Arabidopsis thaliana: one gene and its partner. The protein of the gene in region 1 interacts with the protein of each later gene in a pairwise test. Each region holds a gene or a part of one and is shown in the gene's direction. Other genes may lie near its edges.

The links. The genes of interacting proteins can lie anywhere in the genome.
Region 2: the proteins of AT1G65720 (region 1) and AT1G68380 interact in a protein complementation assay, tested with the Arabidopsis thaliana proteins (one large-scale study listed by BioGRID).

What each region holds. Positions count from the first base shown.
Region 1 is NC_003070.9:24,437,698-24,444,111, reverse strand, and holds AT1G65720 (uncharacterized protein), read left to right. Parts: upstream 1-3,038; 5' UTR 3,039-3,098; coding exon 3,099-3,641; 3' UTR 3,642-4,460; downstream 4,461-6,414. Other genes in the region: YSL7 (YELLOW STRIPE like 7), read right to left, coding at 1,095-1,473; AT1G65710 (serine/arginine repetitive matrix-like protein), read left to right, coding at 5,688-6,414.
Region 2 is NC_003070.9:25,634,169-25,641,184, reverse strand, and holds AT1G68380 (Core-2/I-branching beta-1,6-N-acetylglucosaminyltransferase family protein), read left to right. Parts: upstream 1-3,722; 5' UTR 3,723-3,791; coding exon 3,792-4,331; intron 4,332-4,613; coding exon 4,614-5,252; 3' UTR 5,253-5,347; downstream 5,348-7,016. Other genes in the region: ARG1 (Chaperone DnaJ-domain superfamily protein), read left to right, coding at 6,658-6,785, 7,001-7,016.

The sequences.
Region 1 (6,414 bases):
TGAACATGTTAGATGTGAATTGATTTCTTTAAATTAAAAACCAAGCCAAAATCTAATCATAACGTATACCACAAACTAAAGTTCCTATATAATAGTATGAAATTAAAGGTCATGTGCCAAATAGGTTCCCATTTGACACACATGGTGGGCATAGCAAGTCAACTCTTATTAAAATAAAATTGACGTCATAACGAATCACGTGAGAATCAAAAATAGTGGTTTCCTTGGAATTTCAATCTCTCCATGCATTAAGTATGTGTACACGATGAGTGGTGATGTCTGTTTCAAATCTCGAAAATAGTTCCAAATATTAAATTCTCAAGACAACACCATTTAATTAAAAATATGAAAGTCATAATTATCCTCTAAAAAATTGTGATTCTCACTTTAGTTTACCAATCTTATCCCATGCAAAGTAAGAAGTCAAACGATAGTGGATTAGTTTTTTTTTTTTTTTGTTAATATAATCTCTAACGTAAGTATCCAGAAAAATAACAGCTAATTCTAGTCTACTATAAATAAAAAGTTGAAGCTCCTAATTAAGTGCCGTAATCAACTAATCATATGCTAAAACATCATTGACTTAGACCTAAATACGAATCTCACGCGTCATGTTCTCTATCAACTTGCCGTGTAGATATGGTTCTTATTTTATAACAAAAAAAAAAGTCATACACATTGCTCTCGGATATGAATCTCTCACGTCACTCACTAATCAACTTTGATTTTGACATACTAAAGAAAGTATGAAGTATCCACTTGATTTTGACATACTGCAAAGAAGTATCAAACCCATACACATTTATTTTTATCAAAAAAGATCGTGTGATATTAGTTTCCTAGTCTAGGTTTTAACTTGATCGGTTTTAATTTTTTAACTATTGCACATATTATATTTTTTAAACAACTATATAGTTTATTTAATTTTCATATTTTTTTTTAGAAAGCGATAAACACAAAAAAGAAGTATATACTCTGTCATTTTCAATAGAGACCTAACAGCAAAAAAGTTTTAGCCGTAAATAGAAACAAAATTAAAGACGGCGACACCAAATTCCATCGACGCGTTCACATCAACAAACAAAAAAACGTACCGCTAAAGGCGATGCCGGAGGAGGCGACGACACAAGTCTGAATCACAGTATTCTCTTGCCGTGTAAACGGTTGTTTAAGAAAACCAGCTTTATTAAGAATCTTAGTCCAACTTTTAACAAAGAAGAAACCAAGCAAACCGGCGGAGATATTCAGCGACGGAATAATCCCAGTCGTTAGATTCAGTTTCATCACCACAAAGGTAAAGAGAATCGCGAGTATGAAACTCACGATTAGAGCTCTGAACGTGAGCTGTTTTTGCCACGGCGGTGGGATTTCGTTACTCTCTTCGAAGATTCTCTCCACGGAGATTTCTTCTTCTTCGTTGGATTTAGATCCATTGTTTAGATCGTCGTCTTTCTTCGATCGTTCGACTTCCATAGCTGAGAGTTTTTGATTTGATTTGAGTCAGATCTGAGGAGGGGAACGAGAGAGGGAGAGATTTTATAGAGGAGAGGATCTGAAGAGAAGAGATCGGCGAGAGAAGAGGACGATTTTCTTGTAACTGAATGATTCTCTCTATTGTGTGAGTGAGAGAGAGAAGCGAATCTGTTTTAATATTTCTATATTTATAAGTCAAATGTGTTTTTTTTATAAATAATTAACCTACGTGCACGTGGACTATGGTGTGGTGTGTATACACAGTGTAAAATCTGAGTTTTTTCTTTGGTGTGGATTTAGAGTTAATTAAATTGATACGTAAATGGATTTTGGAATTTAGATTATGACATGTTTACGTGTTAAACGAGCCAATTATGACGGGTCGTAGATTGTATTAATCTTAACAGAATTAAGTTTTAGTTGCAAATGTGTTTTTTTGAAAAGAATTAAAATATTAAAATGAAAATACACGTAAATATTGTTTGAACATTTGATTTCAGAACAATAGTCGTTTATATAGTGAGTTGTTCTTCAAATTACTTTTAATTTCGGAGTACTTAACTATTAACCAATATTTTTTATAATTAAAGATTACAAGGGAATTTTACTTTTTCTACCACAATTTTCCCAAAAAAAAAATATTTCTATCGCTTTTCAATAGTACCAAATTATTTATGTGGAAAGACCAAAAAAAATAAAAACTATGTGTCCAAACGTTTACACCGATTTGACATTTTCATTTTTATGTTCTCTCACTACATTGTTAAAGACTCTAAACGTGAGCTGGCTTTGCCACGAAGGATGATCCTCATGGGCTCATGGCTGGCCTCAAAGATTCTATCATGTCATGTCGTGGCATTTGAGATCGTCATTTTTTTCCTTTATCGCTCTGTGACCGCTGCTAAATTTAAGTCTAACCTAGCTCTTTGTTTACAAGAAAGGAGAGGATTATTTTAAATAAGAGAAAAGTTGGAATATTCGAAAGTGTCGTGCTCTTATTCTATGGTACGAGACTATGAGTGACTAGATAGAATTTTCATTTAGATTCTCTAACCATAATAATTAGGTAAAAAAATCTTAGCTATTAATATTGACTAATAAATATAAAATGTGAAAGTTTGACTATACTATATTAATAAACAAATGGTTAACTTGATATTGACCATGAATGCATCATTAACTTGCTTAGAATAACAAAAATCTTATGAATTTATAACTACTAGAAGTTTGATTATATGCGAGGTGGGTTCAGACTATTCACATATTACACAAACTATTTGTGGTATTAGAACTTGTATAACTTGGACAAAATTCATATCAATTAACAATTAACCTATTGAAAATTAGATAAATAGAGAAATAAATCTATTGTTTGCTTATGTGAGTATAAATAATGAGATTTAGACTTAAAATAGTTAAGTCAAAATTAAATAATATTTTGGCACCTTTTATAAGAAAAGAAGATAAAAGGGACCTATATGATCAAATACAAAAGTAGAGGGGTTATTTCATAATAACACGTATCTTAGAAAATCTTTTTAATCTTCTTCGTTCACCGAATCTTCTTGGGTTAGGTTTGTCTTCAAAATCGTCAGAAGAAGAAGAAGAAGTCAAAGACGATAACAATGACGTCATCATCGTACCTCCGATTTGCGATCGCCGTCGTAGCTTTCCTCTCAATCACCACCATCACCACCGCACGTCCTTGCAAAACCTTCCTAATCTCCTCATATTCCCTCTCAATAACCCCAGAAAACCCTAACCTCGAATCCGATTTCACCTCCACACGATTCGTCACCGTTTTCACAATCCGTCGTCTAAATCCTCACCACGTGGTTCCTTTCTTCGTCAATCGTCGTCACGAGAAGCCACAGATCCAATCGGATCGTTCCCTCCCTTTGATCTCTGATAACATCAATTCGTTTAGAGATCGAACCAGAGATATTCTTAGCGTCGTCGTCGCGCTTTTGTTCGGTGTTGGTTGTGGTGCTTTAACCGCTGCTACTATGTATCTTGTTTGGGCTCTTGTTGTGAATCGTCAAAGCTATGATTTTGAGGAAGAAGAAGATGATTATGAGAATGATGAATCTGATGCTGCTAGCTTGAAGAAATTGGGTTATGTTAAGATTCCAGCTCCAGCTCCTGCTCCTGTGAAGGAAGCTGCTTGATTTGAGGTTGTGAATTTCAGTTTCTGCATATTATCATGATTTACGTTGTTGCTTATCTATGTTGTTGCGTACAAGTAAATTCGTCTCTGTTATGGATTTATCTAAACTTACTATACTCTAAGTATCAGTGTTTTTACGATTTGTAGTTGATGTTTCTTAGATATATATAAGTGTGATTATGATGTTACCTATGGATTTATTCATTATCTTTGATACCAATGTGACTAGTTTAGGAGCTTAATACTTAAATGGATTGATCATCAAAGGAACCAAGGTCGTGACTCGAGAAGTCTGTTTCTTGTTTTCTTTCTGACTTGCTAGAACCTAACTTGGTCGCAGGATATGTGTATGGTTCTCATAGCCCCATTTTGTGGTTTAATAGCTTTCATTCTTTCAAGCACTGATTAGCTAGAACCTAAGTAGGTCGCAGGATATGTGTCTGATTCTCGTTAACCAATCTGTGTTTTGAACAGCCTTCAAGCATTGGGAGTGTCTAGTTTTCTATTGCTTATGGTCATATGTGTGTATGGTTCTCATTGCCCCATTTTGTTGTTTAATAGCTTTCAAGCATTGCATACTTAAGGTAGTGTCTAGTTTCGGTTCCGTTTCTTGTAATCTTACTGACTAGCTAGTAGCTAGACTTTTTAAGTAGGTAGCAGGATATGGGGATGACTCTGGTTGACCCCAATCTGAGTTTTGCATAGCTTTCAGAGCATTGAGAGTGTCTAGGTTCTATTGCTTATGGTCATCTGTATATATGGTTCTTATTGCCCCATTTTGTGGTTTAATAGCTTTCAAGCATTGTGAACTTTAGGCAGTGTCTAGTTTCTGTTCTGTTTCTTGTTATATTTCTGACTACCTAGTAGGTAGACCCTTTTAAGTAGGTCGCAGGATATGTGGATGATTCTCATTGATACTAATTTCTGATTTGCATAGCTTTCAAAGCATTGAGAGTCTCTAGTTTCTATTGCTAATGGTCATCGTTGTGTATGTATATAGCTTAAAGGTTGATGTCTTGGATGCAGAGGAACAATTAAGTGCCTTATTCTCTCTAGTCTAGTAGTTATTTGCCTTGTAACAATCCTTTGTTATGTTACTATTTGATTTGAGGTTGTTTTATGTATGTAAAATCCAGTACCTAATTGTCTTGGTAATAGAATCTATAGATGTCTCAAAATCGGTCCGATTTTCGATTGTCAACACAAATGGTGCAAGATTTTGCTTTCTACATATATACTCTTTTCTTAAAAAACTACCTCAAAAGAACCTAATTGTCTTGGTACTCTTTTCTTAAAAAACTACATATATATTCAAAAAAACTACCTCAAAAGAAATTGTTTATCGTTTCTTTTTCAGTATTTTAGTTATCTGATAAAATAAAATAAAATTGTTTTTGGGTCCTCCACTATACATATGAAGAAACTTGCACATCACCATTCAGTTTGGTCACATGAGTTAATATTAATGAAAGCACTCGATTAACAACAAATATCATTAATCAAACTCAGTAAATTATTTATACATAAAACGAAATTTTATTTTCAATAGAAACTACTGATGTTTATTTCTTCATATCCTAATTTGTAACCTCATATTCTTTTGGTAAACAAACAAAACCATCAAACATGCAAATAACCGTTGGAATTCTAAAACTTATTAAAAGAATTTTTGAAGAGAACCATTTTGCTTTGAAAAAGGCAAAAAGGGTCAGAGATAATACGACATTGACTGCAGTGTGTATAACGGCTCCAATTTCAAAATTACTATCTTTAATAAAATAAATTAATTCCACTTTGACCCCATTATTCTTCAAAGCTTACAATTTCACCCGACTTTTCTTAATTTTAGAAAGTAATGGGTCCTATCCGAATACTTTCTGAAATAAAAGAACTTTTGTCTGTCACAAATCGCATTACCAAACAAAAAAGTTTGAAGTTTTGAATCTTTTTGTCTTCTTACACAAAAGACATTCCCCTAAAAACTCTCTTGTTCTTGACTCACTTCTACTTCAAAATCTCTCTGTTCTTCAAAATTCTTTGTCACAAAATGGGTTGCTGTCTCAGCAAGAAACCTTCCCCTTCTCTTCCCTCTAGTGTTAAACCCTCAGATCCAATCAAACCCATGGAACCAGTGATTGAGCCTTTGGAGGAAGAAGCAAAACCCAAATCTGAGAAACTGAATCAAGAAGAAGAAGAAGAAGAAGTTGTGGTGATAAAACACACAAGAAGCCATGAAGAGAGATCCAAGAAGACAGAATCAGATAAAGATTCTCCAGTTTCTTCTCCTGTGGCGGCTGAGAAATCGAATTCTACACCGCTTGTGAGAATCTCTAGCTGTACTAAAGAAGAAGTTGATGCTATATTGATACAATGTGGGAAGCTAAGTAGAAGCAACTCTGCTGCTAAAACAAGAAGATACTCTGGTTCTAAAAGAAGCTTTGATTTTGACCAGAACGAGAGAATCCGCGGCGGCGATGCGGCGGAGGAAGACGGAATGCAGCGAAATCGTCACCGTGGAGTAGAGAGAGTGCATGGTTCGCCTCGTGAACGGAGAAGACGAACTCCGAGTAGAGAAAGAGAAAGATCGGGAAGCAGAGAAAGAGGAAATGTCGGCGGTGGCGGCGGTGGTAGTAGGAGAGTGAGTAGATCTCCGGCGAAACGTTCTGAGATTCGTAACGCTGATTCGTGTGGCAGTTCGGTAAATTCGAGTAATAATAGACCGGGAAAGTTTGTTACGATTCCTGCAACGGATAAGAGTAACAATGTAGAGCCGT
Region 2 (7,016 bases), 1.2 Mb from region 1:
TGAAACATGACATAGAAATATGACAAACACTGGAACACAAATGGTTCATGTGTAGAGCTTTCATCAATTGTTTTTTTAATGAAAAGAATGTCATTGGTGATGCAAGAATCACAAGTTGGTCAAAACAAATCATCTGTTTTTTTTGCTTATTCAACACATTAGTTCACTTGTATATAGACACTCAAAATATAACATAAATGATCACAAATTCAAGGGAAGAACGTGTCCACAAGTCGTTGTCCACATAGGTATGTTCATTTAACTCTGTTAAGATGATCTTCTTGATTGGATTTTGAGATAAAACGGTAAAGAAGAACGTGTCCAGAAAGTGTTGTCCACAAAGGTCTGTTCATTTAACTCTGTTAAGATGATCTTCTCAATTTGATTTTGAAGTTTTAAAATACAAGTCCAAGTTTGATTTTATATACAAAACATCTCAAAATATAACATAAATGATCACAAATTCAAGGGAAGAACGTGTCGAGAAGTTGTTGTCCACATAGGTTTGTTCATTTAACTCTGTTAAGATGATCTTCTCGATTGGATTTTGAGATAAAAAGGTAAAGAAGAACGTGTCCAGAAATCGTTGTCCAGAAATTGTTGTCCACTGAGGTCTGTTCATTTAACTGTGTTAAGATAATCTTCTCGATTTTGCACCAAATTTTTAACATCTATATCTTAAACACAAATGTAGAATTCAATCTAACATATGTGAATGAAAATTAATTTCAGATCTAAGCTAAAACCTCTATCAATTTCACATAACGAGAACTAGCAACAAGGTTCTTCACTAAGTGAATCAACCATCAAAAAACTTATAAACCGTTTATGATGAACACATAAAATAACCAGATTTTCTGAAAAGATACAACCCAAATATAATCATGAATCAAATTCACAGAACATGAACTAAGCAACGAGTTCCATCAACTAGTGATTCGACCATTACTATCAAACGATTCGAAGTCCACTACGAGGCTTTAATCTCCAATTCAAGAGAATAATCTCGAATATGAAATTGGAAAAGCAAGACAAAGAATCAAAGAGCAAGTAATGAGATTAATTTTGCAACAAACAGCAAAAACATAAAACGAAAACCAAACTGTAAATCCAATTCAAGCATTCAACGAGTCATGTAACTAAATCAGCCAGATAGGACAGATTCTCAAATTGATGGTCTGAAATTTTTTTCCTTCAAGTCAGATCAAAGCACACGCGAAAAATTAAAGAAGGTGAATCTCAATCTCTCTTTCTCATAAAAGCTGATGATTTGTTGAAAAGGAAAGAAAGAAAAAGGTATAAATATATTTTTTTGGCTTGAGTTTTGTTTATTTTTTGAAAGAATAGGTGGATGAGAGAGATAAAGCGATATATGGTTAGAGGGTAAATTGGTCAAATTATACATTCAAAGTGCCTTCTTTTTAGAAAGTGTCTAACCACGGAAATGTTTTTTAAAAAGTGTTTTACAGTGTAATATTCTCAAAAAAAAAATAAGAGCCCTTTAATATAGATATAATTATTTAAATTTAATTTATATCTGTTTTAAGAAAATAATAACTATACATATATATATATATATATATTATAAAATCGACATTAAAAACGTAGTTGTTACTTTTCTTCTAACCATATTTGTTTAAATATACCATAGCTATTTATATATTTACAAAAAAAAAAAAATCATAAAATGGGTTCCAAACCATTACTTCATTTGGCCAGCCATGGGCTCATACGTTATGTTGTGAAGTTCTCGGAATAACAATAAAATTTCAAATTTTAGAAAATACCACTGTTACTAGCCTACTTTCACCTTGTGGATCATTTTGTTAGCTATACATGATACTATTGTTTGTTTATTTTTTACACTCTAGAATTTGTATCATAGCTAGCAAAATGATCACATATATGTTGTTGTAAAGTTCTCGGAAGCAGCCGTGATGGAAAACGCATATTCTCGTATCACTAGTGAACCCAAATGATCACATATTTGTTGTTGTTTTTAACTCAGCCATCATTACCATGCATGAGTCTCGTCTAACATGACGGTTCTGTAACCCAAATGGAATGGAATGCATTTTTCCTACACTACGTCATGACATTCCCAGGGTTGATGCCACTTGTTTGCACAATTATTGTCTCTTCACCCTACAGCTTTCAACAATGTGCAACTACACGTAAATTTGACCAATCAATTTATTTATCAATATTTATATAGTGCAACAAGTAATTTTCTTTTATTTGAACCAAACAAAAAAGTAATATTCTTTCAGTTTAGAATTCGCAAGGTTGACTTCAACTTAGTTTCATATCAACTATAATTATATTCTGTGTATATAGTTAATGTTTGAATACTCTAATGGCTTTGTATGAATGGCCTGATATAACTGTCCCTCGAAAATCTATTACTTAAGTAGAAAATACATAATATATAAAATCTTCAATTTAATTACATAGGTTAAATCCTTTTCACTCACATAGTCTCATGGATCATTTTTTTTTTTTTGCATCCATGGATCTACAGTTTTGTAAGAAGTAAAAGATAAACCATGAAAAAATCCTATATCTGAGTTACATGAGATTAATTTTCTAACAAAAGCTTTAAGCAAATAATGTTTGTCACTTTCATTTGATAAATAAATAAAAAAATACAAAAAGAGATATTTCGTCTAAGAGAAAACATACGAAACCAATTTCAATAGCTCAACTGGTAAAGACTATTAGACAAAGCATGTAGGTCGCCGTTCGATAAAAAAAATTATTTCCCACGTATGTAATTGTTTCTCCAGTTTACCTCTTGATTTAATGTCTACGCGGTTGAATATATTATCTGTAAGAGTTGGTACCATGTCTATTGCATACTATAAACATCGAGTAAATGAAATTCACATCTTTGTTCACTTAGGTTTTTAATAGCAATCTACACGATCCTGCTTTTATGGCTGCGTCATTTTCATTCTTGTAGATAAAGTCACTCCGGTAGTTATAAAAAAAAACAAATTAGGTTTAACTTGTAGTGCTATATATATATATATATATAAGCTTCATATTGTTTTCATTACGATCTTTTTTTTTATATATACAATGAAATTGTTGCAAGCGTTAAGCAATGTAAACGTGGAGGTTTCAAGGATGTCTTGTGAACGATTACCAGAAAATAATGTATATTATTGACAAGGTATGCAATAAACTTATGAGCAAAAACGAAAGAATGATAAATCATATAGGTATAAGGTATATTAATAAGTAAAAGCAATAAACTTAAACATGCGACCAAGAGATAAAAAAAAGTATATAGCGAAACTACAAGTAAAACATTTAAACCACCATCAATATTATATCCACTTATAACAAAGAAATATGATTTTGGGAAAACGAACTTAAAAAAATATATATTGCATGGACATATAGCGAAATAGTTCATTCAAAGACAAAGATTGGTTAGTCTACTCCTATCAATCTTTTTAAAAAAGTAAATTAATATTGATGTAAGGAAATTTGTAATTTTAGTTTAAAGAATTAATGCTAGTGAAAGAGTAGTAATAAGATGCTACGTATATAACCCAATTGACTTTGCTTGGATCATCAAAAAACTGCCTCAAAATGTTATATTCCATTGCGTGTGTATTTTTGTTTTTACGAGTTAATCACTCACGCCACAAGATCTCCACTTTTACTTGCTCTTCTCCACTTTTTAACCTCATTCCAACTAGGAAGTAAGATCCATGTATCTCTTTTTAACCCTTAAAACATTGGAAACAAGAATTCTCTTACACATGTATCGGTAGTTGGAAATGCCGACCCAAAAGGACCAAAACTCACCATTATCTCAAGTGATAGAGCTTCTCAAGAAACTACTCCACCATTTCCACAATCTCCTTTTGTATTTCTTCATCCTCTGGATCGGCGTGATAGTTGGAATCATTGTTTATCCCTCTCTACAAGGATTATCTTCGCCTTCTTCGTTAACCATCCAAAGTGTCTCCCAACTCTTCTTTGTAACCCCTCCTCCTCCTATTCTTTCTCCTTCATTTCAGGACAATGGGCTTGACATGTTTCTGATACCACTGAAGAACATCATGCACGATATGGAAGATAATGAACTTCTGTGGAGAGCTTCAATGGATCCTAAGATCAGGGATTACCCTTATCCTAGAATCCCGAAGGTTGCTTTCATGTTCTTGACTTGGGGACCTTTACCTTTGGCTCCTCTATGGGAAAGGTTCTTTCGAGGTCATGAAGGTCTTTTCACTATCTACGTTCACACCAATTCGTCTTACGACGAGTTCATGCCGCAAGACTCTGTGTTTTATGGCCGCCGTATTCCAAGCAAGGTCAGCTTCCCAAATTATTAAGAAATTTATTTCGATACATTAATAGGTTTGGAATTAACGTGATAAATAAAATTTATAAATATATTATAAATAATATATATATATATATATATATATATATAACGGATCGAAGTACATGAATACGATATTTTTCCTATCTTTTTTAGTAAATTACATAAAAATATAAGAATATTTGGTATCTTAAAAGAAAACATATTAATTATTACACTATAATACATAAAATAAAATCAATCCAATGTCATTAACTATAAACGTATGCAGAGAGTGGATTGGGGAAACGCAAACATGGTAGAAGCAGAACGAAGGTTATTAGCAAACGCTTTATTAGACATCAACAACGAACGTTTCATTCTTCTCTCCGAATCATGCATCCCTCTCTTCAACTTCTCCACAGTTTACTCTTTCCTCATCGACTCCACTCTAACCCACGTCGACTCCTACGACCTCACAATCGGTCGCGTCCGCTATGACCGCCGCATGTATCCTCACATCCGCATGCACCAATGGCGAAAAGGCTCTCAGTGGTTCGAGCTAGACCGAGCCATGGCCCTCGAGGTAGTCTCTGATACGTTCTACTGGCCAATCTTTAAAGCTTACTCTCGCTGCCCCGACGAGCACTATATCCCGACGCTACTCAACATGAGGCCGAGCCTTGGGTTGCGTAACGCGAATAGGACGCTTACTTGGACTGACTGGAGCAAGCGTAGGGCTCACCCGAGATTGTTTGGTGAGTGGGAGGTTAATGTGGAGTTCTTGGAGTGGCTAAGGATGAAGAGTGTTGGTGATTGTAAGAAAAATGGAGAAAATAAGATGAGACTTTGCTTTCTCTTTGCTCGCAAGTTTTCGTCGACTGCTTTGGATGAGTTACTCCGGTTAGCATCTATCGTCATGTATTTCTGATCACTCTCTTCCCCCTTCGTCCAAAAACAAAGATGCAATCGGTTTAACTACCAAATCTTCTTTAAGTAAGTGAAATATACAGTGTGTGCTTAACAAGTTACTTTCAGTACTAGGGATGTGAGATTAATCAAAGTCCTTGATAAAGTTAGGAACTAGCCTGTCATCAAGTTATAAACAGAAGATAACTTGAGAAACATTGAGAAAACACAAAAGCCTGACCCCCCAATCTCATTTGGTTTAGTCCTCCATTAGCATTTATGAGAAGGTATCCATTCATATTAGCACCTAACTCTGCAGACAATGTATACTCATATGGTAAGAACTTATAGAAGAGAAAAATAGGAAAAGAAAAAAAAGAACAAATTGCTACTAATAGGACTAAAAGTTTTGCCTAGACACCTGAATACTCAAAGAAGAATAAAGTCATGTCAGATATTTAATCTCCTTCTCCCATCTTCTTAAGCGAGATAGAAACTAAGCCACAAATGTTTAACCAAAGAAACACTTGAAAACACTACTACCACCAAGAAATGTGAAGAAGATCTTAATTAAGCAGCTCAATACACATCCATTTTTGGGCAACACTCAAAACGCAATTTATCAAGTTGTAGAAACAGAAACAAAGGCTAAACCACATATAAACAAGACCTTCTCAAGCCAAAAGTCGTAAATGTTCGACAAGAGAAACACTATTAGTAACAGAAATGTGAAGATTTTATCTTAATCAAGCATGTTCTAGTATGAGAAACACCTAAAAAGATAGCACAAAAAGCAAGAACCTAATGAGAAGCACCACCACCAATGGCAAAATTTTCTATACAATTGTTGATTTTTTCCCCATTTACATATTGATTATTCCATTTTGCTATATTTAGTTTTTTTTTTTTTTTTTTTTTATTCATTCAAATTCAATTTTACATATATTTATGTGACCCAAAACATAATTCCAATTCATTTTCTACAAAAATTCAATTTTTGACTTACCATATCACAAATGATATTATTAAAATAATATCAATAATAATATAATCACTCTTATAATAAAACTTCGTAATGGCCACAAAAAAATCAGTAATTTTCGATTTCCTTAAAAAGTCATCGAATTAAATATGAAAAATCAACGAGTTAGTTTGTCCAAAACGAATAAAATAAATTTAATAGTACCTTTTATTTTTTCGGAAACCCTTGTTTCGTTTTTTTTCCTCGATCTTCTTCTTCCCCAATCTCTCTTATTTTGTGAGCTTTTTAGATCCTCCTTTCTTCATCGTTTCTTTTCCGAGGTTTCAAATTCGTTCAATTTCTCGATTGAAGATACCTGAAATCGCGTTATTCTAGGTCCGCCGCTGTTGGATCTGCAAATTCCCCTTCGAATTTGAACATTTGTGATTTCAAATTCTTCGAGAAGATGAGCGCGAAAAAGCTTGAAGGTTCGTCGGCTCCGGCGAATCGACGGGATCCGTACGAGGTCCTTTGTGTATCAAAGGACGCTAATGATCAAGAAATCAAATCCGCTTACAGAAAATTAGCTCTCAAGTAAGCCAAAATTTTCCGATTATAACGATATCAAAACTGATTTTGCTTCAATTTCATCGTCTTCAATCCAATTTCTTAGGGTTTCTGGTTTGTTATATTGAAAAATCTGGAATTGTTCCTATTTGAACTCGTTAGCCATGTCAATTTTTGTTTCCAGTGAGATTGATATGTGAAGAATCTATTGTATACTAATGCCTATACATTATTGTGGATAGGTATCATCCGGATAAG